Linked DNA regions of Callithrix jacchus. The protein of the gene in region 3 purifies or fractionates together with the protein of the main gene of each other region. This does not show direct contact. Links are inferred from orthologs where the notes say so. Each region holds a gene or a part of one and is shown on either strand. Other genes may lie near its edges.

Region 1 (4,241 bases), on a different chromosome or scaffold from region 3:
TCTAAAATCTTAGGACAACCTCTAGGTTCAATTTTAATGTGTTGGGTCTGTTAAATTTAGCATTTGATCAAAGCTCAGAACAGAGCAAAAGTCTCCCACCACCTCTGGCTCTCCCTTACAAAGGCAGGCATTACAAAAAGACTCGGTAGAAGCATTTTCTTTAGTTTGTCTTGCCCTAGAATGCAGGTCACGACTTTCTCCACTGCTTTTGACCTCTGGCTAGCAATTGTACCTATTTTCAAAAGGCCCTAAGTGATAATGCTTTTGGTATTCTGAGAACGGCTGTTTATGAAAGGCTTCCTTGCTTTCGCCTAAGTCAGATATTTACCAGGTGGCATAGGTCAGAGGTGCAGAAAAGTTTGTTTTGTCTTAGCAGGGCAGGAGGATCCACTAGAGGACTCACTCTTAACAGGTGAGTCCAAGGAAGCGCCTACAAAAGACGCAGTGGTGAAACTAGCTGGGCACCTGTAATCCCTACCCAAGGCAAGGCTGAGGAAGGGGGATCGCTTGGACCCTGGAGGTCGAGGCATGATGGCGTCACTGCATTCAGCCTAGATGGCTAAGCAAGACCTTGCCTCAAAAAGAAAAAAAAAGGTAAAAGATGTGGTAGTGCCAGGCGTGGTGGCTTGGGCCTGTAATCAATCCTAACACTTTGGGAGGTTGAGGCGGGAAACAGCTTAAGGCCAGGAGTTCCATACCAGACTGGGCAACTGAAGTGAGGCCCTCGCCTTAAAAAAAAAATTAGCTGGGTGAGGTGGTGCACGCCTGTGGTTTCCAGCTACTCTGGAGGCTGAGGCTGGAAGATCGCTTGAGCCACGGGAGGTCAAGGGTGCAGTGGGCTCTGACTGAGCCACTGCACTACAGCCTGGGCGACAGAAGGGACCCTCATCTCTAAAAAAAATAAAGAAAAAAAGAAAAGAAGCAGTGGTGAACGCAAGCAGGTATGGTAGCCCAATACCATGGGGAGGCCAAACAGGCTTTAAGGCAGCATTCCGTCCTCCACACCCAGCCCGGAAGCTTTCCTGCCACACAAGCTTTCCAAGCATGCTAGCTCGCCCCAAGCAGCGCCCATCCCGCAGCATCCACTGCAGCCACCGCAGAGAGCGGCGCAGCTTAGAAACCCGTCCCCAGGTGGGGAAAACGGTCCGCGGGAGTCACGTGGGCGGGAGGCCCAGCCAGAAATCTCAAGACTGCGCAGGCCCCTGAGCCTCAGCGCCCCCGGCTCCGCCCCGCCCGCGCGCGAGTGCGCGCGCGCGCGCGGGGGACTACGCCCGTGACGTCGGCGGGGCACAGCGGAGCGGGACAGGAGGCGGGGCGCGGGCCGGAGTGGGTGGGGCGAGTCGGTGCTGCTGAATCGGGCGCCCGGACGAGTCGCGCATTCCAGCGGGGTCATGTGACGCGGCCGCGAGGCCTGAGGTAAACAACCGCGGCCCCGCCTCCCGGGCCTCCGCGCGCCCCGCGCTCCTCCTTGTCGGCGAGACGCGCTCTAGCGGGGTGGGTAGCTTCTTCCGAGAGTCCCCTGCGGCCGCCGCAGCAACTGCAGCGGGCAAGGCGCCCAGGGTCTGCAGGCCGAGCGCACCGGCAGGGGTCGAGCGCGCGTCCCGTCCCCGCCCTCCCCCCACGCTGTGGCGCAGCAGGAATTTGGCCGGGACCCGGGAGCTATTCGCGGCTGCTGACGCGCGGCGGCCGGCGACCGGGCGCTCATCTCTATTCTGGGGCCGTTTGGTCACCGCGCTCCGCCGGCCCCCTCCCCCGGGCCCGGAGGGTGTGTCCCCCGCTCGGGGGCTCGCCGCGCCTATAAGGGGCCGAGCGGCGGGCAGGGACATGCAGCTCTACAGCAGCGTCTGCACCCACTACCCCGCCGGGGCCCCGGGTCCCACGGCCGCAGCCCCCGCGCCGCCTGCAGCCACCGCCGCCGCCCCCTTCAAGGTCTCGCTGCAGCCCCCGGGAACCGCCGGCGCCGAGCCCGAGACCGGTGAGTGCCAGCCCGCCGCGGCCACAGAGCCCCGGGAAGCCGCCGCTGTCCCCGCCGCCAAGATGCCTGCCTTCTCCTCTTGCTTCGAAGTGGTGTCCGGGGCCACCGCGCCCGGATCCGCAGCCGCCGGCCCGCCCAGCGCGTCCTGCAAGCCGCCACTGCCGCCGCACTACACTTCCACCGCGCAGATCACCGTGCGGGCCCTGGGCGCCGACAGGCTCCTGCTGCACGGGCCCGAGCCCGCTCCCGGCGCCGCGGGCTCTGCGGCCGCCCCGCGCGGCCGCTGCCTCCTGCTGGCCCCGGCGCCCGCAGCCCCCATCCCGCCGCGACGGGGCTCTTCCGCCTGGCTCCTGGAGGAGCTGCTGCGGCCCGACTGCCCCGAGACGGGCTTGGAGGCGGCCCGGGAGGGGCCCGATCGGAACTTCCGACTGAGCGAGCACTGCCAGGCCCTGGCCGCTGCCAAGCATCGAGGCCTCGCGCCCACCCCGGGGAGTCCCGACGCCGGCCCCGGTCCGTGGGGCGAGGAGCACCTGGCGGAGAGGGGCCCCCGGGCCTGGGAGAGGGGCGGCGACCGCTGCGACGCGCCTGGCGGGAACGCGGCTCGGAGGCCCGACCCGGAGGCCGAGGTGTCTCCCGGCCGGAGCAGCGAGGCTGCCCCGAGCAGCGCGGTGGAGCCGGTGGTTGTCCCCAGGTCGGATCCCAGAGACGAGAAGCTGGCCCTGTACCTGGCCGAGGTGGAGAAGCAGGATAAATACCTGCGGCAGAGAAATAAGTATCGATTCCACATCATTCCCGACGGCAACTGCCTGTACCGAGCTGTCAGCAAGACTGTGTACGGCGACCAGAGCCTGCACCGAGAGCTGAGGGAGCAGACCGTGCACTACATCGCCGACCATCTCGACCACTTCAACCCCCTGATTGAGGGCGACGTAGGGGAGTTTCTCATCGCTGCTGCCCAAGACGGGGCATGGGCTGGGTACCCCGAGTTGCTGGCCATGGGGCAGATGCTGAATGTGAATATCCACTTAACTACTGGAGGGAGGCTGGAGAGCCCCACGGTGTCTACCATGATTCATTATTTGGGCCCAGAGGATTCCCTGAGGCCCAGTATTTGGCTCAGTTGGCTCAGTAACGGACACTATGATGCTGTATTTGATCACTCCTATCCTAACCCAGAGTACGACAACTGGTGCAAACAAACTCAAGTGCAGAGGAAACGCGATGAAGAACTTGCCAAATCTATGGCCATATCCCTGTCTAAAATGTATATTGAACAAAACGCATGCTCTTGAAGTGTCTCAAAACCTTAACACCCTGGGAAAATTGCATACATAACTTGTGTTTGGAGAATCACGTGAACTCTAATCAGGGTAATAGCACTTTCAAACTTCCTAGTAGATTTTACTGTAGGTGTAATGCCTTAATCATCTTTTTGAATGTTTTCTCAGAGCTGAAGGTTGCTGGGCACCCAAATGATGTTTCATGATAGCTTAGGGTGATTTTACTGCTATTTATAATTTGCTGTATAAAGTGAGCACTACTTAATTTGCAAGCTGTTTTCTCACAGTGTAAATTTGTTCATTCCTGGTAGTCTATTTTCTATAAAAATGTATTTTTGCACAACATTTTTAAAAACTGGTGTACCTTCATCTATGACGTGTCCCATTTTGACAGCTTTCAAGCATAAATCCAGAGAAGTGCTTTATATGAAATGTATTATTTTGAACAGAGTTTGTGATTTGGTAGTTCTTACGTTGTTGAAATTTGATTTTCACAATTCTTAGATAATTATTTCAGATGGATATTGATGTATTCTTGTTACCAAGTGTTTGGCCCATTCCATTTTGATGAAACAAATCTGTTCTGTTGGAAATAATTATTTTTCTAGAAATGGTGAATCTTTTAAAGAGAAATACTTAACAGAAGGTTGTGGGAAGGTTTTTTTTCTTCTTTTAAGGGATAGTACCAGGTCTTACTTGAATGAAAGTCTGATATTTGCCGATGACAGAGTGATTATTCTGTACCCTGGTTAATGTGTAAATTGTCTGGTGCTCTCAGTTTTATTTACATTTGTCACTTTGTTATAAGAGAATCTAACTTGGTATAAAATTTTGTGACAAGATAAGCCTCCTGCTTTATATAACTTCTTGGATCCAGCTAAGAGATTTATAAACTAATGTCATAAATGTCTGGAGCCAACCTTGGCAGTTATAGCAGGAGAACACTGTCTTAGTATTTCTTTTACATTCTTTCAAAAGGCAAAAAA
Region 2 (4,218 bases), on a different chromosome or scaffold from region 3:
AATTACACAGAAAAAAGTGAGAATCAGGTTTACAGCAGAGCAGCACTTAAAAAATCATTTATTTTCAGGACTTATAAGGAGGTCTACTCCCAATTTTTTAAAGATTATAAAACAGCACCCCTAATATAAACACTAAAATAAGTTGTTAAAAAGAAATTTGTCCTATGACCTTTCAAAAAAATTACAGACCATTCCCTAGAAAGTGCCAGAGAAAAAACCAAACCAAACCAAACAAAAACCCATGCCCTTTTGGAGAAAAAAAAAAATATTACTCAGTTTCTTAAATGATCTTTCAAAAAATATTACCCAATCTCTTAAATGATCTTTTTCTCTCTCGGCTCTCTATGCTTAGTCTAGAGAAGCAAAACAGAGATTTGAGAAACAGTCCAAATTTTTCATGACAGTTTTTGAGTGAGTCTTATCTTTTTCTGAAACCAATTCCCCAGGTTTGTATGTCAATACTTAGGAAAATTGAGAGAAAATTACTTGCAGTCTCTCCATCTAAAGGCTGCCCCCGTCAGAATTGCATAGAGCAACTTCATATACTTTCATTGACACTTTGGTACTGCTAGATTCCATCCAACCGAGTTCGGAACGTTTCACAAGATGGAATACAAACTGAAGTTGAATTTAACGAAAAGTTCTGGGAACAGCTTGTGTCTTTTAAAATACTGATAGGTGGAACATTCCTGTTTGAAACTACAGATAAATTTGAGGGTTGTCAACCTATTTGAGGATTCACTGGAGTGCATTAATTACAGAGCTTTTTTCCTCCCAATATATTGTAATTATAAAACTAAGTGGAGTGTGGGGGTACCTGCGAGATTAACTGCACATTTTCCCAAGTTATCAGATGCTTTTCAGTACGACGGAAATTAAAAGACATTTTTATTTTCAAAAATAAAGGTAGCAGCTAAGAAAAAGCAAAGCATATACATCTATGTAATTTAAAGAGAGAAAGCACACAGAGTGAAAGATTAACAGTTGAGACCCCCCAGGTGAAGGGTATATGGGTGTTCGCTGTATGATTTTTTTCCCTGAATTTTTCTGTAGGTTTGCAGTTTTACATATAAAGAGTTGAGGGAAGGGTAAAGTCAACCGTTTTAATTTAGTACTCGGTCCTATGACTTGCTTCAGCCTAACATCTAGCTCAGGATTTAATTACTTCAATACTATACATGCGTCATGACAGATGCTCCTGTATACACAATTCAGGTAGAACTGATTTAAGTCCACCCAGCGTCAGTGTATGTCTAAATATAAAGAAGCCTGGAAAGTCTGGATGGAACCCTGAGAGACAGGCTAGTCCCTTAAGCAGTTGCTAAAGAGCTGAGCAGTTCCTTCTGAAGTTCCAGATAACACTACCTAAGAATGTTATCACCGCCCTGTTCTGCAATTCGCTCAAGGGAATCCTGCTAAATCTTTGCTCCTCTCAAGAGTAAGACCTACGTGTATTAGTGGAAACTACTTATGAAGTGAATTTTATTTCTAAATTTCTAATCATCTTGGAATACAGTATTAGGCACTGTCCTCTCGGCCGCTAATCTGATCAAACTGGGGTCCCTAAATCCGAACACGCACACCCGGCGTGTCTTCTAGCACACAAGGCACTTTAAAAAGTAGGGAAGCTACTTTACCCTGTTATTTCCCTGGTTTACTTCCTCGCTTAAAAACAAAACACAAACCCTGACGGATACCATAAAGACTGACAAATGGTTTTGTTGTAACTGTGTCGTTCTAGAAAGAGTGGATTTGAAGTGAGTGAATCGCTGAGTCCCGCGATGAGACAGGCTCTGCATCTTGCTCTTAAAATCCCGGGGGTGTCAGGACCACATCCCAGCTGAGCAGGCTGAGACTGCCGCGGAATGCAGACTGGCGGGAGGAGGGGACTGGGAAGGGAGGGAGAGGTGACAGGCGACCCGTCCAGCGCGGGTACCGGGGACGCGCGGTTCCCCGAGGCTCCCGGCCGCTCGCCCCCCGCCCCTCCCCTTTGCTCCCCGCACAGCCTCTCCCGCCCCTCCCCACCCGGCTCCTTCAAGTCTCCACGAACGGAAATGGGAGTCACAGCGCCGGGGACCAGCGGAAACAAAACACAGAGGCGGCCGCGGGGGGGCCGCTGTGGGCGAAAAGGCCCCGGAACGAGGCCGGCCCGCGCGGGCCCACGCTCCCCTCCTCCCCGGCGGCCGCACTCACCAGCTCCGGAATCGGCCCTGTGGCCCCCGCCCGCGCTCCAGAGCCGGCTGAGAATGGCAGCGGCACAGGCTCCACGTGCTGCGTCTCTCCGGGTAAGACCTTCAGCTCCCGCGACTAGAAGTGTGAGGCCCTAGGGCCCTTCCCGCGGAATCGGCGCTGAGAAGCCCCAACCCCCCTCCCGCCTCCCAAGCACCTCCAGGTCCAGGACTACAACTCCCAGCAGGGTGCGCGAAACAAACGCCCAAGGCAACGGAGGCTCACGAGGCACAAGGAAGCACAACGCCCCAATCCGCTTTGTTTTACACAGTCTCACTTTCCCTGTACCATTATACACCTCGATAACCCTAAGGAACAGGACGCTGAGTCGAAAGACAGCTTGAACTAGGGGACAGGTTAGACAAAGTGCGCATGCGTACAGAGCAAGGTTTCAAGGAGGGAAAGAGAACGGGTCAAATTAGGCGAAGAAAAGATGGCGGAGTCTTCGCCACGGGACCCGGAAGCACTTACCCTCTACTTCCTCCTCCTGTTTGGCTTCTGTCTCACCTAGAGCCGTCCGGTCGCAGACTTGTCTCCGAGACGCTTCCTGTCCGGTGAGCGTCGACCGACTGAAACGGCGGCCCATAATGCATTGCGATGGCGGGTAGGCGTGTGGGGGCGGAGCCAGAGCCGGAAGTAGGACGGTGGTGGTGGTGGCTGCGGCGGCTTTGGCAACTCGGTACTGAGTGCAAGGTGACTGGGAGGGTAGCTAGATCAGCGTGGCCTCTTGGGACTCCAGATCTGGGTTTCTTCACGAGGGCTGGGCTGCCTCTCACCTTTGCTCTACTAGAAGGAGAGAGCAGCTCTGTGTCCTGGGGACATTTACGGCCTGGCCCGGGGTCACAGCTGACCTCTACGCTTCTAGACCTTGGAGTTTGCCTTAAACCTAGAAATAAGACTGATACCTTCCCAGGGGGCAAATCGGGGCCGCGCGGGAGGCAGGGAGGCTGGGAGGTCTCGGGCCCGCATCCTGGCTGGGGCATCCCAAGGTCAGGCGCGCGGGAGAGGTTTTCGGCTAGGCCTGCCCGCCCCGGGCGCAAGTAGCCGTCTTAGCTCCTTAGACAAAATGTCCACCAAAAGAGGGCAAAGAGTAGTCATAATCTTGAAAGTTTGCTTCCCACCTACAAACGATGATAGTGCTAACACTTCGTTAGGCAGCTTTATGGATTGTTCTTAAGAACATACACTGACGAGACAGCGAACCTACTAACCTTTGGCCTGTCAGTCATCACTGTAATGGGACAACGTTGCTCCCGCCCACGACAAGACCTCTGCTCGGACTGTAGTGTTTTCTTACTGTTGCGTTCCCCAGTCTTTCTGATCATGTCAGACGCTATCATATTCTCTCGTGTCACCCGATGGTACTGGAATGGAGAATTTATGGCAGGTGGTATTCCACAGCTGTTTGTGTAATGACTGTCTTCTGCGAGTCAGTGGACAATATGCATTCACTAATCAGTGAAAAAAATGAAAGGGATTAAAGAAGGAACAAGTTTTGGTATGAGATTATGTGTTAATTTTTTTGGATGAGTTCGTAGAACTTATAAGGGAGATGAGAACTGTTGAATAGAGTGTATAGATTTGGGGTTCAGGAAGAATACCAAAATTAGAGATGCGATTCGGGAATGATAGGCACTTAGAAGATAGAAAATTGAAACGATGAAAGTGGATTTTACCCATGTTGTAGCAGGAATAACATCTCTGCAGTCAGACTTAGAGAAAATTAGCTGTATGAATATGTGCAGCTTGACTTCTTAGACATAGATCTGTAAAGCAGAGATAAGAACGTTTCCTTCTAACTTTTTTTTTTATTGTAAACAGCTTATTTTTATTTTTTATTTTATTTATTTATTTATTTTTTCTTTTTTTTTCTTTTTTTAAATTTTTTATTGGATTATAGGTTTTGGGGTACATGAGCAGAGCATGCAAGACAGTTGCGTAGGTACACACATGGCAGTGTGCTTTGCTTTTCTTCTCCCCTTCACCCAC
Region 3 (4,273 bases):
CATGGGCCGCGCGCCCCAAGGCTGTGGAGAGGCAGGACACGGTGTCAGCCCACCATCCCCGGCAGCCGGCTAAGCCGTGGGAAAGGGGTCCTACTCCCTGACCATCACCCCCCACACATGGGGCCCAAGGGGAGTTCAGGATGGAGGAATAGAGTCCGTGGAGACAGACGGACACACAAATAATATCACAAGGGGACAAGGTGACATACAGTCTCAAAAAAGGGACATTGTAACACATGCATGGCTGAACGCAGTGGCCCACGCCTGTAATCCCAACACTTTGGGAGGCCGAGGTAGGTGGATTACCTAAAGTCAGATGTTGGAGACCACCCTGGCCAACATGGCAAAACCTCATCTCTATTAAAAACACAAAAATTAGCTGGGCATGGTGGTGCATGCCTGTAATCCCAGCTACTCAGGAGGCTGAGGCAGAAAATCATTGAGAGGAAGGTTGTAGTGAGCTGAGACTGCACCACTGCACTCCAGCCTGGGTGACAGAGCAAGACTCTGTCTCAAAAAACAAACAAATATAACAAAAAATAACAAAACAAAACAAAAAACAAATACAAACACACACACACGCACCCACACGGCTGCGTGTGGTAGCTTACTCCTGTAATCCCAGCACTTCGGGAGGCAGAGGCCGGTGGATTGCTTGAGGCCCAGGAGTTGGAGATTAGCCTGGGCAACATAGGAGGACCCTGTTTCTACAAAAAAATTCAAAAATTGGCCGGGCATGGTGTGCACCTGTAGTCCCAGCTACTCAGGAGGCTGAGGTGGGAGGACCACTTGAGCCCCAGAGGTCAAGGCTGCAGTGAGCCTTGATTGTGCAACTGTACTCCAGCCAGGGCAACAGAGCAAGACCCTGTCTTTAAAAAATAAAAAATAGAATTATAGGGCGTGGAGCCTATAATAGGCCGAGGCGGGTGGATCACCTGAGGTCGGGAGTTCGAGACTAGCCTTACCAACATGAGAAACCCCGTCTCTACTAAAAATACAAAATTAGCCAGGTGTGGTGGTGAATGCCTGTAATCCCAGTTACTCGGGAGGCTGAAGCAGGAGAATCCCTTGAACCCAGGAGGCAGAGATTTCAGTGAGCCAAGATTGCGCCACTGCACTCCAGCCCGAGCAACAGAATAAGACTCTGTCTCAAAAAACAAACAACAAAAAAAATTCAGTCACATGAATAAGGGGTCTCCCACCCAGTGGCACAGGCCACAATTTCACAACTCCACTCACACTAGCCTGGGGCCCATGACACCAAACTCCACACTTTTGTCTCACTGCACACAAAGCTTTTTCCTGCCAAAACCCCCTCATCCACCCAAAAACCCCATGAGAAAGTTGCTCCTTGGCCAGGCATAGTGGCTTTCTCCTGTAATCCCAGCGCTTTGGGAGGCTGAGCTGGGATGATCACTTGGGCCCAGGAGTTTGACACCAGCCTGAGCAACATAGTAAGACTCCATCTCTACAAAAAATTTAAAAATTAGCCAGGTGTGGTGACATGTGCCTATATCCCAGCTACTCAAGAGGCTGAGGTGGAAGGATCACTTGAGCCTGAGAGGTAGACGCTGCAGTGAGCCATGATCGCACCCCTGCACTCCAGCCCGGGAGACAAGAATGAAACTCTGTCTCAAAATAAGGAAAATTGATCCTATTAATTTATTTTACTAAGGCAGAGCCTGAGGACAGGAGAGAGAATCCACAAGGGGCTGACAGGCTCTTGCAGAGGGGCACACGTGTCATTAAAGTATAATAACATTCCTCACCTGCCTCTGTGTCCTTATTTTTTATTTTTATTTATTTATTTTTTGAGACGAAGACTTGCTCAGTCACCAGGCTGGAGTGCCACTGTTGTGATCTCAGCTCACTGCAACGCTGGCCTCCCAGGTTCAAGCGATTCTCCTGCCTCAGCCTTCCAAGTAGCTGGGACTACAGGCATGCTCCACCATGCCCAGCTAATTTTTGTATTTTTAGTAGAGACAGGGGTTTCACCATGTTGGCCAGGATGGTCTCCATCTCTTGATCCCTTGATGAGCCTGCCTCAGCCTCCCAAAATGCTGGGATTACAGGCTTTAGGGACTGCACCCTGCCCTCTGTGCCCACATCAATCCCTGCTTCCTTTAGTCCCAATGTACAGGTGAGAAAACTGAGGCTCAAAAGAAATGCTTCGTATCAAAGCAGGTACAAAGGTTTCCACGCTCCCACACAAACATCCATGCAGAAACGGCCCTCATGCAAGTTCAGATGAGAAAAGCAAGGCCTAGGGAGGGGAATGGACTTCTTTTGCACAAGGCAGAGATGCGTTCACCCCCAGAGAGCTTCGGTCACACACAGAGAACCAAGGCAGGCAAATATAGACAGACAGGAAGTCTCTGGCTCTCCCAAGCTGGAGATGGGGAGCCCAAATTGAGGAAGACAAGGTTTACACAAGCTCTGATGGGAGGCCACCCCCATTGGCCCAGCCTGCCCGGCAACAGGACTGAAGTGTGGGAACTTGCAGTGGCCCGGCCAGGAGGGGGTGAGGCCAGGGTGATTCCAGCCACCTTCTCCCCTTATCCCAGGCCCCGCACCCAGCTGGTGAGTCCCCAGCTTCCCCCTCCCCAGAGGCCTCCAGGAAAAGATCGGGGAACTCCCTGCAACGGGCGGTGCGGTGCACCTTTTTAGACAGGGAAGGTGGCAGCCAGGGCGACTGCCCTCCGGATCAGGCCCAGCCCTGCGCCCACATGGGTCCAGTGCGCTCCACTCACCCTGCGCCCTGATCGTGCGCCCCCCGCAGTCGCGCTGCCTTGAGCTGAGTGAGCAGAAGCCGCTCCGGGGGGCGGGGCTGGAGCCTCGCCGGAGCCGGCGAGGGGCTGGCCAGCGACGCAAAGGGCCGGCGGTCGCCAGCAGTTGCCCCTCCCCTCGGGTCCCGGGCACTCAGCCCGTGGCTGCCAGCCTGTGCCACCCGCCGCGGCACCGGAACGCGCCCCGGCGGCGACTGGCACAGGCGAGCCCTCAGCTCCCCGCTCCGGGCCTGGGCTGCCCCCTCCCAGGGACGCTCCGTTGCGAAGGGAGGACTCCGAGAGGAGGCGGGAAAGGGAGGGTTCTGCGGCAGGACGGTCGCAGCTCGAGCCTCTTCTCCCCAGCGGTGGGGTCTCCTCTGTCCTGGGTGTCCAGGCACTACGCCCTCCCCATTGCCCACGCACCTGTGAACTGAGCTTCCTGGGCTGCACCCCAAGGACGCCCCGTCGATGGTTCGGAGGGGTCTTTAGTGCTTGCTTAGCAGGAGTCTTCAGCAGGGGCCACCTTAGCCTGAGTCCGATCCCACCGGCAGATAAGTCCCTGCTGCTCCCGGGCACAGGCCCCTCCCAATTTCCCGCTCCCGCCCCCGGCTCAGGGCGAGTAGGGGTGAGACGGGCGGGCAGGATTGTTCTGGGAAGTTGATGCTCCTTAGATAAGGAGGGTCTGTCCAGTCCCACCCCCTGGATTCCGCGTTCCCCCGACTGGTTCTCTCCCACCCTTATTGCTGAGGACGAAGTGATTTACTCATTAATGGTGTTTCTGGACTGTGTCAGTAACAGTAAACCCCACCGATGTAAGGATTTTTTTTTTTTTTTTTGTCCCAGACAGGATCCCGCTCAGTCGCCCAGAGTGGAGAGCAGTGGCACCATCATAACTCACTGCGGCTGCGACCAGCTGGGCTCAAGCCATCCTCCCATCTCAGCCCCCTGAACATAGCTGCCGGGACTCCAGTCGCTTGCCACCATGCCCAGGTACTTTTTTTTTAAATAGAGACAGGATCTTGCTATGTTGCCCAGGCTGGTCTTGAACTCCTGAACTCAAGCGATCTTCCCACTTGGACCTCCTAAAGTGCTGGGATTACAGGTGTGAGCCACCGCAGCCTGTCCATTGGGGTAGGGATTTGAGTCTATCGTGGGCACTGCCAGGACACAGCCAGTGCCCATTGTCTGCTGCATGAATGAATGAAGGAAAGAATGTCTCCCTCACGTCCTCTGTGTCTCTCTCAGGAGGATCTTAGCATCTCTTGCCTGCGTGTCTCTCTGTCTCTGCGTGTCTCTTTGTTGCTGTCTGTGTCACTCTCCCACGCCTCTCCCAGGCCACTGCTCCTCCAACCAACCCTTCCCACTGGCCCCGAAATGCCTCCACCCCCACTTCCCAGGAGCTTCCAGATGGTCTCAGCTCTTCCACCCTCAGACTCAGGAAGGGGGGTCTGGGTCCCGCTGCTTCTCCAGGACCTTGCCCTTTGCCCCTGATGCTTCAGGCCCTGATG
Region 4 (3,500 bases), on a different chromosome or scaffold from region 3:
CACATTATGAACACCTACAAAAGCAAGAAAACATTTTCAGTCATTTGACTTTAATCATCTATAAACAAATCAGTTTTGCTGACACTGATAATAAGCCATCAAGTTTCTACTGCTTGGGTATGAGGCACTGGCCAGTTTACTAAGCTAAACGTCACTAAGTGTGTAGGCTTACAACAGTCTTAGTCAAAGTAGAACTTTCTGGGGCCAAGACCCCCTGCCACAAATCTAATACCTAGCATCTGGTATGCACCTAGACATAAAATAGTTCCCGAGTAAGTACGATTATTTCTAGGTGGTGTAGCCACAGGGCTGAAGTAAGAAAGGACTGAAACTATCTTCATATGTAGACCAGGCTAGTGAAATTTACTGATTTTATATTCCCCTTTGCCTCAAAGATGCCCAGTCTACCTCATTTTTTAATTCTACCTTTACCTCTTGAACTGATCACCAGCAGTATAATCTTAATTGTCTTCATTTGAGCACAGATAAAAGTCTGCTTTCTTGTCATTTTATAATATGTTCCATAACTGAAGTTAGTTCAAACCATTTGATCTATCATTTTTTTTAGAGATTCTCTGAAACCCATTTAAAAGCTTTACAACTGGAGGTGAAAAATGTTTTATTAGATCTTTTCTACACTTCTCTTTTGAAGTATTAAATGACTAAAAGCAAAGCTTCCTCCCATTTCAGCATTCATTCATTCATTTTTCTTGCTCTGTTGCCCAGGCTGGAGCGCAGTAGCACGATCTCTGCTCACTGCAACCTCCGCCTCCCAGGTTCAAACAATTCTGCCTCAGCCTCCCAAGTAGCTGGGATTAGAGGCGTGTGCCACGTGTGTGGCTAATTTTTGTTTTGTTTTAGTAGAAACAGGATTTCACCATGTTGGCCAGGCTGGTCTCGAGCTCCTGACCTCATGATCTTCCGGCTTCAGCCTCCCAAACTGTTGGGATTACAGGCGTGAGCCACTGTGCCTGGCCCCATTTCAGCTTTTAAAAAGCTATTTTGGGCAGGTGCAGTGGCTCACGCCTTTAATCCCAGCACTATGGGAGGCCAAAGCAGGAGGATCACTTGAGCCCAGGAATTCAAGATTAGCTGGGCAACATAGTGAAACCTTGTCTCTACTCCCCCACCAAAAAAATAAAAACCCAACTGTTCTACTGTACTATTTTCAGAATACTATGGCAAAACACAGTTGGTTTATACAATTTGATTAGTTTTTAATATATGCTTTAATCAAAGTTACATGTCAAGCCTTTATCTTACATACTTGCTAAATGTGAATTTGTCTTTGTCCATACTCTTCAGAAAGTTACCCCTAGATCTGGCTTTAGCAAGAACGAAGTCAGAAATGGAAGGGAAATTTCTATGTACGTACCTGAGGTATCCAGCTGCCCCTGTTCTAGGAGAGTCTCATCAATTACAAGGGAAGTATTGCTGGGCAGCTGGAGGAGCCCACTGACCAAGCGATTGGCTGTGTAGTCTTTGTGGGGAATGAATTTCAAATGGTTCATGTTCTCTATAGTCATCTGCAGACGAAAAGACTGCAAAGGAAAATTTTTTAGTGAACAAGAATTTAAGTTTCCCTGTTTTAAGAAATATGCACTTGGAGTTAAACACTGTGTTTCATATGGAAAAAGTGATCTTACCAATTTTAATTTAACCAATGAAACAAATGGTAGATAACTGACGTACAAATATTAAATATCCCAAAGCCTAACTTCTTTCACCTAATGCAAGCTAGTAAAAAGGAAATATTAATTTTATTCTTCAAGATGGGGAGAGAAAAGTTTAATTTTCCTCTATATTCTTTGAGTTAAAATTACATTCATTCATCATAGACATTTTTGAAGAAACTTTTCAGAGAAAAATCAAGGAGCAGAGCACACTGAGCTGTGGTGACATGCTGCAGCTCTCAGGACATGGCTCCCGGCTGTGTGCACCTTCTTCTTTAGTCTAATGAGTAAGCGACCCATCTATGCTCCTCCTCCAGCTCCTGAGCCACCACTCTCAACACTCTGTGCTCTGCTTTATACAACAATCATTATTCTACCCCTTCGGGGGAAGGCTGTCAAGGAAGAGGTAAGACGTATTGCCAAAATTTAGAGGTGTTTTATACATTAGCTCAGTGAATCTAAAAAAACAGGGGAGCTTAGGGAAGCTTAAATGACCTACCATGGCTTAATTTATTTGTTGGTCCTTTACCTAAACTCCGTAAGGGCAAAGGATCTGACTGTTTCAATAATTCTCAAAATGGGGTCCAGAGAATCCCCAGGGAATTGCTCAAACACTTTTCTGGGGTCAATCAGGTCAAAATCATGTATGAAGAAAAGATCCTTTCAATGTGTGAGACTAATGAATTTTATCCGAGGCAGGAGAATTGCCTGAACCCAGGAGGCGGAGGTGGCGGTGAGCCGAGATCGCGCCATTGCACTCCAGCCTGGGTAACAAGAGCGAAACTCCATCTCAAAAAAAAAAAAAAAAGAAAACGTCATGTGGATAGTTTTGGTCTACTATCACAGGCCAGCACCAAGTTACCTACAAAGGCTATTGAAACCATCCTTTACCAGCTACCTTTCCAACTGTGTGAGGCCAGCTTTCCTTTATATACTTCAACCAAAACCTCAAATTACAACAGACTGAAGGCAGAAGCAGATACAAGCATCTGTTGTCTCCTATTAATCCAGACATTAAACAGACTTGCAAAAATGTAAAACAATGTTGTTTTTATCACTAACCATTTTTGGCTTGTGAAAAGTTGTTTTTATAAAAATATTTGTCTATATGTAGTTTTTTATTTTTAATAAATATATTTGCTTTACCTTCTAATTTGGTAAATTAATGATAAATATAACATGAAAAATGTGAAAAACAGCACTTTGAGTACTAATACGTTTTTCAGAGTGTCAAGTGAGTCTAAGGAGACTGAGAATTGCTGGAGTATTCTGGTCCACTTGTGCTTCTGAGGGCCTGGACGAGTGCTAGCACTGAGACACTCAATACATTTGGTTCAATGAGGATCTAGTGCAACCTCTTCAATTTCCAAAGAAGGGATCACTATTTTCAGTCACACAGCTAATCAGAAGCAATTCCCCTGTTCCCAAGATCCTAGCACCACACAAATACTGCATTCTAGATACCCTGGCAAATAAAGTGAGCTCAACTTTCCAAACAGGAATTAAAACTGGGTAAATGGAGACAAAGAACTTTATTACCTCAGCTAAAAGAATTATGCTCCTATAATTTAGAGTTCATTTAGATTTAAGATTTTAGTGCGCAAAAAGGATGGCAAATTGCACAAACAAATGGGTATCAACAGAGTATAATTTTAAGGGAGTTACTGCAATTGTATTAATTGTTAAGACTGACAGAAATTTGTGCTTAGACAAAAAAAAAGTGAAACGTTTAGGGGAAAGTACATTTTAAATTATGTAACTTGGCAGGGTTTGTTTCCCCTTAAATAAGATCTATTATATCTCTAAGTTAAATATTTGGGTTGAATG
Region 5 (3,500 bases), on a different chromosome or scaffold from region 3:
TCTGACCCCTCCCACAGCCAAGGGGGTGGTCCACGGAGGATCTGACCCCCCCCCACATAACCAAGGGGGTCCGTGGAGGATCTGAACCCCCCCCCACATAACCAAGGGGGTCCGTGGAGGATCTGACCCCTCCCACAACCAAGGGGGTGGTCCATGGAGGATCTGACCCCCCCCACGTAACCAAGGGGGTCCGTGGAGGATCTGACGCTCCCCACATAACCAAGGGGGTCTGTGGAGGATCTGACCCCCCCCACATAACCAAGAGTGATCTTTGGAGGATCTGATTCCCCCCACTACATAACCAAGGGGGCTGTAGATTATCTGACTCCCTCCACATACCCAGCGGGGTCAGAGTGCGGTCCTTCTCCTGGGAACCATCCACATGGTACTGGGAGTGCCTAATGAGGAAGATGTGCCGTGTGGCCTTCGCTTTGTAGTGGTCCAGCTTAGACGCCAGCTCCTCTTCCCCAGATTCCACGTTCCTCTTCCGCAGGTTGATCAGAGACAGTGGTTCTCGCCTAATGTTGAAATACAAGATTCGTCCTTACGACCTCTGTTCCCAAATCACTTTTGAGTTTTTCTGACAAGATGTTATTTCCAAATTGTCAGACTACTTGGGAAGAGCCTGGAGAGAAGACAAGGCTCTTGGCGCAGCCCCAGGAAGGCGTCTCAAGGACACCACCTCTCTCCCCGACAAAGCTAGTTCCTGCCTGTTCTGAGTGAAAAAGCACTGAAGAATAAAACACCCAAGTCCTGTGCACCTTCTTCTCTAACAAAGGGAGGGAGACCGTGAACAGCAGGAGGAGACAGACCACCCAGAACGCAACCCCGGGCGTGGAGAACGCCAGGCCAGGAAAGAGGACAGGAGGCGGGAAGTGCCCACGGGGCCAGGATGGTCTCCCTGACCATGATGCGCCAGCACAAGCTAGAACCGTGATGCCCAACAGCAGCTACCAGCTATGCGGCTGTTTCAGTTCAAAATAAGCAAAATTAAGTAAAACACCATGTCCTCAGTCATACTAAGTACATTTTAGACACTCAGGGCTGAGTGCAGTGGCTCACACCTGTATTCCCAACGCTCTGGGAGGCTGAGGCGGGTGGATCACTTGCGGTCAGGAGTTTGAGACTATCCTGGCTGACATGGTAAAACCCCGTCACTACTAAAAATACAAAAATTAGCCAAGGCATGGTGGCGCGTGCCTGTATTCCCAGCTACTTGGAAGGCTGAGGCATGAGAATCCCTTGAACCCAGGAGGCAAAGGTTGCAGTGAGCCGTGATTGTGCCACTGCACTCCAGCCTGGGCAACAGAGTGAGACTCTGTCTCCACAAAATATAAAACAAACGCTCAGTAGCTACATGGGGTAGTGACTATCAAATCAGACAGTGAGAAGGAAACATTCCCATTACGAAGCCCTGTTCCAGAGCTGCTGGAATCTGAAAGAGCTGCTCAGCTGGGGGCCAGGGATCACCACCTCATGGCTCACACCTGGAATCCTAGCACTTTGGAAGACAAAGATGGGTGGATAGCTTGGGCCCAGGAGTTCAAGATCAGCCTGGGCAAGACAGGAAGACCCCGTCCCTACAAAAACAGGAAAATTAGCCAGGCAAGGTGGCCTGCAGCTGTAGTCCTAGCTACTCAGGCTGAGGTGAGAGTACTGCTTGAGCCTGGGAAGGAGCCATGATCTCACCATTGCACTGCACTGTGCTCCATCCTAGGAAACAGAGCAAGACCCTGTCTCAACGACCAAAAAAGTCCAATAGCACAGGTCACACCGGCGACAGCGGCGGAAAAGGAAGCTTTGGAAGGACACAGTGGTCACTCAAGGGCCATGGCCAGCCTGTCACAAACCAGGCCAAGACTCACACTGGCAGGTACGGGGGAGTCAGGCTGAGCCAGAGAAAACATTTGGGAGCTGTAGGCTCCGAGACAGGAAGCCCAGCACTGCATGGGGCTCTGGAACTTCCCAGCATGGGGAAGTGAGACGCAGGAGGAAACATGCTGTCTTCTAGCACCTTGCTGTAGTAGTTCGTGCCTTCTGTCCGTACGAGTCCTTCCCCAGCCCACAAAGCCCAGTTCACTTCTCCCCGGACGTGGCAAGCAAATACAGAATACCTGCTTCAGTGACAAAAGGCTGGGCTCAACTCCCGGTTCTACTTCAAGTTACGCGTTTATTTATTTTTGAGACAGGGTCTTGCTCTATCACCCAGGCTGGAGTGTGGTGGCACGATCTCGGCTCACTACAGCCTCAGCCTCCCAAGTAGCTGGGATTACAGGTGACTGCCACCATGCCTGGCTAGGTTTTGTATTTTTAGTAGAGACGGGGTTTTGCCATGTTGGCCAGGCTGGTCTTGAATTCCTGACCTCAAGTGATCCGCCTGCCTCAGCCTCCCAAAGTGCCGGGATTACAGGCGTGAGCCACCGTGCCCGGCCTACTTCAAGTTCTTTTTTTTTGAGATGGAGTCTCGTTCTGTCACCAGGCTGAGTGCAGTGATGGGATCCCAGGTAGCTGGGACTACGGGTGTGCACCACCATGCACAGCTAATTTTTGTATTTTTAGTAGAGATGGGGTTTCACCATGTTGGCCAGAATGGCCTTGATCTCTTGACTTTGTGATCCCCCCGCCTTGGCCTCCCAAAGTGCTGGGATTACAGGTGTGAGGCACCGCGCCCGGCCTCAAATTCTTTAACCTCAGAGTGAATCTGTTTCCTTAGAAATTCAGAATATTGTACTGATTTTTTAAAAAAGAATACAACTCCAGGCACGGTGGCTCATGCCTATAATCCCAGCACTTTGGGCGACAGAGGTAGGCGGATCACAAAGTTAGGAGTTTGAGACCAGCCTGGCCAATATGGTGAAACCCTGTCTCTACTAAAAATACAAAAGTTAGCCAGGCATGGTGGTGGGCACCTGTAGTACCAGCTACTCAGGAGGATGAGGCAGGAGAATTGCCTGAACCTGGGACATGGAGGCTGCAGTGAGCAGAGACTGCTCCACTGCACTCCAGCCTGGATGACAGAGCGAGACTCGGTCTCAAAAATAAATAAATAAATAAATAACTCCAGTGTAATCATGAGAAAAACATTAGACTTAATCTCAACTGAGGGACCTTCTACGAAATACCCAACCAGGAGGCCACGATCATCAGGAGTCTGAGAAACTGTCATAGCCATAATGTGCCTAAGGGCTGGGTGTGGTCGTTCACAAGTGTAATCACAGCACTTTGGGAGGCCGAGGTTGGCGGATCACGTGGTGAGGAGTTCCAGACCAGCCTGACTAACACGGTGGAACCCCATCTCTACTAAAAACACAAAAATTAGCCGGGTATGGTGGTGCCTGCCTGTAATCCCAGCTACTCAAGAGGCTGAGGCAGGATAGGAGGTGAAGGGTTCACCTCCCACTACACTCCAGCCTGCGTGACAGAGAGACTCCATCTCAAAAGAAAAAAAAAGGCCTAAGGAAGCATGAAAACTACTTGTTATATGGGTCCTGGAACAGAGG
Region 6 (3,500 bases), on a different chromosome or scaffold from region 3:
AGGAGGTGGCAGGAGGAAAGGAGGTGGCAGGAGGAAAGGAGGTGGCAGGGCTGGTAGCTCCTTCCAGCCCTGGAGCTGGAAGGACTGGAGAGAGATTAGAGGGATGGGGAAGAGTGAGTGACAGTTGGTTATGAGGGACAGGAGTCAGCGGTATTCCCCAGAGATGAAGAATGGGCTGCTGTCCAGAGTGCACCCAAGGCAGCCTGCAGGTTGGGTGAGGGGAGGGGCTGAGGTTGCGCTCTGGCCCTGGTGACGGTGTGAGGGTGGCTTCTGGGGCCTAAGTTTCTGAGTGGGGAGGAGGCACACGTGGAGAAGGCGAAGAGGCTCAGCGCAGCGCTGGGGCAGACCCACCACTTTGTTATCATAGAGCACCAGCCCGTAGTTGTGGGGCACGAGGCTGAAGCGGTTCCTCCACTTCTTGCTGTCCTCCTGGTACTGGAAGAGGTTCCCCGAGAAAATGATGCGCTCGTCCAGTGGCACCTGTGGGCAGGAGGGGGCGGGGAATGAGGCCCAGATCGGGGGCTGGGGGGATGCTCCCCATGAAGCTGACAGCCCAGTCAGCAGACCTGTGTGCAAGCCCCCGGCCTAGTACGTCCCCCACTTTGCATCTCCCAGGGTCCTCCCAAAGCCTCTGAAGCCTGGCTGCCTCTCACCCATTCTGCAGATGAGAAGAGTGAGGCTCAGAGCTGTGGAGGGGCTCACCCAGGGTCCAGGCAGGGTGGCAATACCAGGACTTGAACCCAGGACAGGAACCCACCTACTGCACCACGCTGCTCCTCACCCACCTACAGCTGCAGCACTGGTGCCCCGCAGTCGTTCCAGGCGCAGGGGACACACCCACAGGCCAAGACTTCGAAGGCCCCAGTGCCTGGGCAAGTCTATCCCTGGCTCTAGGCCTCCATTTCCCCTCAGGGCAATGACAACTTGAACAAGGTGGCTCCAGAGAACCTCCCAGCTCTGATCACTGATGAGACGGCCTCCCTCAATCTGGGTGGGGATGAAGAGTGCCTCTGTCTGGGGGTGTTTGACGTCTGACCCACGTCCTGGCAGGCTGGTGACCTACGTAGACTGGTGACCTACATGGGCTGCAAAGTGCCCAGACCTTCCTACAAAGCCCAACTCTGCCTGACTCACAGCGTGTTTCGTCACTTTGAGCATCAGTTTTCTCAGCTGTAAAATGGGAATCATAAGAGTTGGTACCTGACAGGCAGGTGCATAATACACAGGACCACCATGACCACTATTGGTAGGACTCAGTATCTGTGATAGCTTCCCAGCCCCAGGGACTGACTTATCTGGGGATGGGGAAGGGGATCTTTAAACCAGGGTTGGGGGCCCAGTTGGAAGCTATGGCCAAGTGCAAGGCCTCCTGAGCAGACAAACACCAGGAAGCTTTTGGAAGGAGAGAGACCACAATGAGAGATGCTTCGTCTTGGATGGGAGGGAATCCAGGGGAGTACAGTGTTCCTCTGTTTCTTAGCAAATTCTATTTGTTCTACAATAAATAAGGTGCCTTTGGCCTGACGTGGTGGCTCACCAGGTCACAAGTTCAAGACCAGCCTGGCCAACATGGTGAAACCCCATCTCTACTAAAAATAGAAAAATTAGCCGGGCATGGTGGCACATGCCTATAATCCCAGCTACTTGGGAGGCTGAAGCAGGAGAACTGCTTAAACCCGAGGGACGGAGGTTGTGGTGAGCCGAGATCGAGCCACTGCACTCCAGCCTGGGCAACAAGAGCGAAACTCCGTCTCAAAAATAAACAAGGTGACTTTTGCAAAAACAAACAATTCTCCGAAGCAGTCATGGGAGAAAGGGTGATTGTGCCTGCACCTTCCTGGCTTCCTGGCTCTGCCCAGGCCCATCCTCACAGTCCTGTCTCCTCTTGGCCCTGTGCACCCTCCACCGCGTCCCCCTCTCCCCACTCCCTCCCTGCTGCTTTTCAAGGGGAAACACAAAACACTCCTGGAGAAGCAGAGCCCATTGTGCTCACACAATAGGACCTGCAGGCTTCTTCCTACCAGGGACAAAAATATTTACAGGAAAAGAAAATGGTTCCCCTACCACCCTCCACCCTACACACAGTGGGCTTTGCCCAAGTCATGGAGCTGCCCTCAGTGGTCTATATATAAACTTCCCACACCCAGCTCAAATCCCTGTCTTTTCTAGAAAGAGCAGAGAGCTCTCATAACACCAGAGGCAAGAGGCAAGAGGCCTCTGGTTTTCCTTCCTCCCTGTTTAGGGCAGGAGCCCCAGGACACAGGGACTCGCACTCAGGGACAGGGCCAGTCCCAGCAGGAGGCTGTGCAGAAGTGGGCTAGCGACCTAGGCAGGCTTAACAACCCCCACCACCCAATCCGCCCCCAGATCCCAGGGAGCTCGCAATGGGTGGCTGGCTGTGGGTTTGGGTTTTATTTTTAAGACTTTCAAATGGCAGAGTCGTGTTTCGATTGGAAGGCCTGCAGGAAATGAAATGGAACTCGACAGCCCAGGCAAAATAGTTTAGACTCTGCAAAGCTCTCCAGTGCCTCAGTCAGAGACAGCACAGGCCCGGGGTCACAACCAGGACTCCTGTCTCAGCACCACCACCCACCGCCAGAGCCTGGACAAGCAGCTCTGCCTCTCTGAGCCTCAATGTCCACATCTGTGATGTGGGCATCATCATAGCCCCTCCCTCAGAGTGGGGCCAGGTGGCTGAGCAAACAATACAGACACAAGACAATTGCTGTTTTAGCCAGGCACAGTGGCTCACACCTGTAATATCAGCACTTCGGGAGGCCAAGGCAGGCAGATCCTGAGGTCAGGAGTTCGAGACCAGCCTGGCCAACATGCTGAAACCCTGTCTCTGCTAAAAATACAAAAAATTAGCTGGGTGGGTGGTGGACGCCTGTAGTCCCAGCTAGTGGGGAGGCCAAGGTACAACAATCACTTGAACCCAGAAGGCAGAGGTTACAGAGAGCCGAGGTCGTGCCACTGCTCTCCAGCCTGGGTGACAGAGTGAGACTCTGTCTAAAAAAAAGCAAAAACAAACGAAAAGACAACTGCTGTTTGATTATTCTTATTTTTGTTGTGTTATCATTATCACTATTTTTATTTTTTTATTTTGTCCTCTATGAGAAGAAATTTGGTTGAAATTTTATTGTATTCTATTGTTTCTAATAAAAAACAGTGTTGTTTTTATCACCACTGGTGATTAATACTCTCTCTAGTAATATGATGTTATTGTGACTTTACATTGTGATAATCCGTTTCCTGAGGGACAAAATAAGACCAAAAATACCTGCTTTTCAGGGACTGTGGGTGATTTCATTTCACTCTCCTTGCTTACCTGTTGCCATTTTTCTATAATAAATACACACTCCTGCCTCCCCAGAGTAAATGGGGCCTCACGCAGAGGAAATGCTTAACGCCCTCAGCTGGCGCCCACTTATCTTAGAATTTTAAGACTTGGGCTGCCTGTGACATTGCTTTCCAGACAGGGGAGCCATTCTGGCCCCACT
Region 7 (4,198 bases), on a different chromosome or scaffold from region 3:
AGGTTATTTTTATACTGTGGTTTGTGCCCAAGGCCAGGAAGGGGAAAGAGTTCGCATCCTCACACTCCCTGCCTTTCCCCAGCCCTCCGAGGTGTTATTTTCTCCCGCAGGACAGAAGTATTCAATCCCCATGTCTCTGGCTTCTCGCCCCCACCCTGGGGACCCAGGCATCCTGCCCCCCACCCCCAGCCCAGACTTGTTCCTCTTTTGGAGACAGGAAGGAGAAACAGTACGGGGACTGCATTCCTCCTCAAGTTCTTCTTGCCTGGAGGGAGTTGAGCCAGACAACTGGGGAGTGAAAAGGATCAACCAGCAAGCCCCTTCCCCATCCCAGGGAGGTGTTCCCCCCACCCAATTTCTCCATGACACTTGGCTTGCAGCAAAGCTAGAAGTGGGACTGCGATGGGTGGCTGGGGGAAAAGAAAGACCCCACATTCAGGATGGGGCTGCAGTGGAAAGAGACTGGCAGCATACAAGGCCTACCTTTTACCATTCCTCCCCAAATCCTGGCAGCTCCTACCCCAGGGACCCAGCTACCCAGCTGGGGCCTCCACCCTCATCACCTAGAGCCAGAGGAGCTGAGACCAAGACAGAAGAAGGCCAGGTGAGGAGGCCACATATGCCAGGCCACGTGAAAACCAAGACAGAATCAGAGGCCAGAGAGAAAGAGAAAGGGTGCAAAAAACAGGAAGGAGGCTGAGGCAGAAAACCAAGGAAGGGGCTTGAGAGTGACTTGGCAGGCACAGAGAAGGGGCTGTCTGATCTGATAGACAGGTGATGGAAGAGGAGGAGGTGGAGGAGGAGGAGGAGAAGGGATAGGAGGGGGGAGGAGGGGGAGGGAGGCAGAGGTAGGGAGGCCCAACATGAAGGTCAGGCCAGGGCTGAGATGGGCGAGCCCTAGAACCCAGGTCTTACCTGCCCCATCTCCTCTGGAGCACCCAACTCCATCCGCAGCCGCATGTCTACAGCCTTCCTCCGGGACAGTGGAGGGGTCCTGGACCCGGAGCCCCCAGCCTCTGCTTCCACCCTCAGGGAGGGCAGGGGTGTGGCAGCCCGAGATGTGCCCCCGCTCTCCCCAGTCCCAGGCTCTGGGGGGCGCTGCTGAGGCGGGGAAGCCGACAGTGGGGGTGTCTCTGCCTTGGCTTTTCCGGGCACCACCAGCTGGCCCAGCCCCCCAGTGAAGGAGCGGGCCTGAGGTCCGGGAGAGGTCGGCGGTGGACGGAGCCAGGAGGTGGGGCCCTGAGACAGGCCTGACTGTGGGGTGGGGGTGCCCAGGCCGAGGCTGGCCAGCTCCAACCTGGAATCCAAAGATCTGCCCCCAGCGCCCGCTGATGTCCCTCGAATTCCCTCCAGGAGGCGGCCAAAGCTGTGGGGCTCCAGGTCTCGCTCATAAACATCCACACAAGTCCAGCGACCTCGGCGATAAGGCTCTCCCAGGCCGTGGGGCAGCTTCACCACCCGGAAACGGGAGGAGGGGGCCCCAGGTGGGGGAGAGCCATTACGGGGGGTGCCCTTGCCCCCCGGATCAGGGCTGTGCTCCCCATTTGGCAGGCGGGGTGGGGGCCCGGTGGGGGGCAGTGGGCCAGGGGGGTCCGAAGCCGCTGGGCTCCCCGGGCCCTCGTAGTCCGTGGTCACGCTGGTGATTTGGAAACTACTCTTCTTCTTGCCCCCGCTCATGGTCCCTGGGGCTCAGGGCTGGGCCAAGGTTGGGGGTAGGCTGGGGCTCCTTGAAGGGGCTCAGGCACCCCTGGAACAAGGGGGCCACATGGTGGGGGCATCCGGGCCCCTGGGGACGTCTGGGTCCGACATGGCAGGAGGGCCTGGCGGGAACCGGGGGTGCCTGCTGGGTGAGGGGAGAGGAGGAGAGTGGAGGTGGCAGGAGGGGGGAGCAAGGGCAGGTTTTTCCTGCTGCTGTCGCTGCTGAACTCCAGAGCTGAGTTTGCAAACTGGAAAAAGACAGAGAGAGAGAGAGAGTTTATGTGTGTGTCTGTGTGTGTGTGTGAAACCAGTGGGCAGGCCACCTCCGGGGCTTCCTCTCCGGGGAGCAAAGTGGGGGAAGAGGAAACCGTCAGAGAACCAGAGGCAGGCAAGAGATGACAAGAGACCAGGGCAGAGGGGACCGGATCCCAGAAGGCGTTCAGGGTAGGAAGAGGCAGACGGGTCCCAGAGTTGAACATTTCTCGCTTGGGATTCCGACTCAGGGATCCTGCATTGTCCCAGGAGCTCGGACTCCAGGGCCTGGGAGAACCGGGGTGAAGCAGCTCCCCAGCCTGGCCCGGCCACCCAGAGAGAGACCTCTCCTAGGCCTCCAGCCCCCACCCTCACCCCAGCTCCCACATCTTTGGGTCAAGCCCTGCCAGGCTACCCCTCTGCGCCCCGCCCAGCCACAAGCCCTACCTCTGGGGCCTCGGCCACTGATCTGAGCCTGGGGGTCCCGGCGCCTAAGAGGTAGGGCTGTCGGTTCCCTGGGGCCTCCTGGCCCCGGGCAGTGGCGGGACTCGCAGGCGGCGATCACAGGCTGCCCCGTCCTCTTCGGGGGCCGCAGCTCATTCTGCGAGGCATCTCCGTGTAAAGTTTGCTCTCCGAAAAGAAGGAACCCGAGCCTCCTCCGAGGAGCCCAAGCGCGGCCTCTGAAGCACCAAGGGTCTGGAGACGATGTGGGAGGGGGCGGCGGAGTCCCCCGCTGCTCCCGGTGGCAGCCGGCGAGTTGGTGTCCCGAGTCTCCTCCCGCGTGGCCCCGCTGGGTCCTTGTCTCCGCTCCTCGGCTCCCCTGGGTCTGCCTCTCCGTCTTTCTCTTTCTGAGCTGTTGACAACCCCCACACCAGGAAGTCCTGCCTCCTCGGGCCTGCTGACTGCTCCTCTCCTCCTCCTCCTCCTTCCCCTCTTCCTCCCCTTCCTCCTCCCTCCCTCCCTCCTGGGGCTCCCCGCCAGCTGGCCAGGGGCCAGGCCTGCCACAGCCGCTGCTGTTGCAGTTGTTGCGGCCGCTGCTCAGGCTGCTGCTCCTGGGGGCCGCAAACAGACTCCCTTAACCCCACACCTGCCGGGCCCCAGCACCACTCTTGCAGGGAGGGGCTGCAGAGGGCGGGGCTCGGGGAGAAAGGGGAGGAGCTTGCAGGGAGGCGAGGGATTCCCTTACTTGTAGTCAATTGTTGCCCCTCTCCTAGAGACTCACCAAAGAGAGGGACGGCACAGGCCTGGAGGTGTACTGGGTGCCCCCCCAGAAGTGCCTAGTTCCTGCTGTGGGGCGGCTGTGGCTATTACCGTCATTCTCCTTTCCTTTCCACAGCAACTAAATGAGGAAGGTACTATTATTCCCCTCATTCCTTATTTTTAAAAGTGGATTATTGCCGAATACTGTGGCTCACACCTGTCAATCCCTGCACTTTGTTTGGGAGGCCGAGGAAGGAGGATAGCTTGAGACCTGTTTGGACAATATAGCAAGACCCGGCCCCTACAAAAAATAAAAGAATTAGTTGGGCATGGTGAGGTGCACCTATAATTCCAGCTACTCAAAGGCTGAGGTGGAAGGCTCGCTTGAGGCCAGGAGTTCGAGACCAGCCTGGGCAATGTAGCGAGATCCCTGTCTGTACAAAAAATTTTTAAAATTAGCTGGGCATGGGGAGGTGCACTGGTAATTCCAGCTACTCAAATGCTGAGGGAGGAGGATTTCTTGAGCCGAGGAGTTTGAGACCAGCCTGAACAATATAGCCAGATCTCCATCTCTACAAAAAATTTTTTAAAAAATTAACTGAATGTGGTGATGTACACATATAGTCCCAACTACTCAGGAGGCTGAGGCAGGAGGATCTCATGACCCCAGGAGGTCGGGCCTGCCATGAGCCAAGATGCACTCCAGCCTGGGCAACAGAGTGAGATGACATTTCATTCAGTGAAATGACATTGTTCGGGAGCCAGCTGTATTTTGCTAGACTATTTGAAATCAAATCCTGGACATTATATTATTCCCCTCTCCCCCACCCTCCTCCTTTTTATTAGAGACAGGGTCTCTCTCTCTCTCTCTCTGTTGCCCAGGATGGAGCACAGTGGTGTGATTAAAGCTCACCACAGCCTGGAACTCCTGGGTTCAAGCCATACTCCTGCCTCAGCCTCCCAAGTGGCTAGGACTTTAGACGCATGCCACCACACCCAGCTAATTTTTAAATTTTTGTAGAGGTGGGGCTGTCACTATGTCCCCCAG

Evidence for each region.
Region 1: the proteins of KEAP1 (region 3) and OTUD1 purify together in Homo sapiens (affinity purification with western blotting; 3 studies listed by BioGRID, with this or other methods). This does not show direct contact. The link is inferred for Callithrix jacchus from reciprocal best matches to the Homo sapiens genes KEAP1 and OTUD1.
Region 2: the proteins of KEAP1 (region 3) and GABPA purify together in Homo sapiens (affinity purification with western blotting; 3 studies listed by BioGRID). This does not show direct contact. The link is inferred for Callithrix jacchus from reciprocal best matches to the Homo sapiens genes KEAP1 and GABPA.
Region 4: the proteins of KEAP1 (region 3) and MCMBP purify together in Homo sapiens (affinity purification with mass spectrometry; 3 studies listed by BioGRID and IntAct, with this or other methods). This does not show direct contact. The link is inferred for Callithrix jacchus from reciprocal best matches to the Homo sapiens genes KEAP1 and MCMBP.
Region 5: the proteins of KEAP1 (region 3) and PGAM5 purify together in Homo sapiens (affinity purification with western blotting; 6 studies listed by BioGRID and IntAct, with this or other methods). This does not show direct contact. The link is inferred for Callithrix jacchus from reciprocal best matches to the Homo sapiens genes KEAP1 and PGAM5.
Region 6: the proteins of KEAP1 (region 3) and NIBAN2 purify together in Homo sapiens (affinity purification with mass spectrometry; 3 studies listed by BioGRID and IntAct, with this or other methods). This does not show direct contact. The link is inferred for Callithrix jacchus from reciprocal best matches to the Homo sapiens genes KEAP1 and NIBAN2.
Region 7: the proteins of KEAP1 (region 3) and TSC22D4 purify together in Homo sapiens (affinity purification with mass spectrometry; 4 studies listed by BioGRID and IntAct, counting the BioPlex papers as one, with this or other methods). This does not show direct contact. The link is inferred for Callithrix jacchus from reciprocal best matches to the Homo sapiens genes KEAP1 and TSC22D4.

What each region holds. Positions count from the first base shown.
Region 1 is NC_133508.1:23,883,459-23,887,699, forward strand, and holds the start of OTUD1 (OTU domain-containing protein 1), read left to right. Parts: upstream 1-1,441; 5' UTR 1,442-1,824; coding exon 1,825-3,267; 3' UTR 3,268-4,241. UniProt on the Homo sapiens protein: Deubiquitinating enzyme that specifically hydrolyzes 'Lys-63'-linked polyubiquitin to monoubiquitin.
Region 2 is NC_133522.1:31,940,315-31,944,532, reverse strand, and holds the start of GABPA (GA-binding protein alpha chain), read right to left. Parts: upstream 2,801-4,218; 5' UTR 2,701-2,800; exon of another isoform or gene 2,116-2,700; intron 1-2,115. Other genes in the region: ATP5PF (ATP synthase peripheral stalk subunit F6, mitochondrial), read left to right, coding at 2,817-2,833.
Region 3 is NC_133523.1:9,696,606-9,700,878, forward strand, and holds the start of KEAP1 (kelch-like ECH-associated protein 1), read right to left. Parts: upstream 2,801-4,273; 5' UTR 2,751-2,800; intron 22-2,750; exon of another isoform or gene 4-21; coding exon of another isoform or gene 1-3. Other genes in the region: S1PR5 (sphingosine 1-phosphate receptor 5), read right to left, coding at 1-3. UniProt on the Homo sapiens protein: Substrate-specific adapter of a BCR (BTB-CUL3-RBX1) E3 ubiquitin ligase complex that regulates the response to oxidative stress by targeting NFE2L2/NRF2 for ubiquitination.
Region 4 is NC_133513.1:112,978,467-112,981,966, reverse strand, and holds part of MCMBP (mini-chromosome maintenance complex-binding protein), read right to left. Parts: intron 1,542-3,500; coding exon 1,376-1,541; intron 15-1,375; coding exon 1-14. UniProt on the Homo sapiens protein: Associated component of the MCM complex that acts as a regulator of DNA replication.
Region 5 is NC_133510.1:135,914,500-135,917,999, reverse strand, and holds part of PGAM5 (serine/threonine-protein phosphatase PGAM5, mitochondrial), read right to left. Parts: intron 519-3,500; coding exon 340-518; intron 1-339. UniProt on the Homo sapiens protein: Mitochondrial serine/threonine phosphatase that dephosphorylates various substrates and thus plays a role in different biological processes including cellular senescence or mitophagy. Modulates cellular senescence by regulating mitochondrial dynamics.
Region 6 is NC_133502.1:176,149,496-176,152,995, forward strand, and holds part of NIBAN2 (protein Niban 2), read right to left. Parts: intron 481-3,500; coding exon 352-480; intron 1-351. UniProt on the Homo sapiens protein: May play a role in apoptosis suppression. May promote melanoma cell invasion in vitro.
Region 7 is NC_133503.1:13,245,114-13,249,311, reverse strand, and holds the start of TSC22D4 (TSC22 domain family protein 4), read right to left. Parts: upstream 2,801-4,198; 5' UTR 2,398-2,800; intron 1,947-2,397; 5' UTR 1,678-1,946; coding exon 916-1,677; intron 1-915.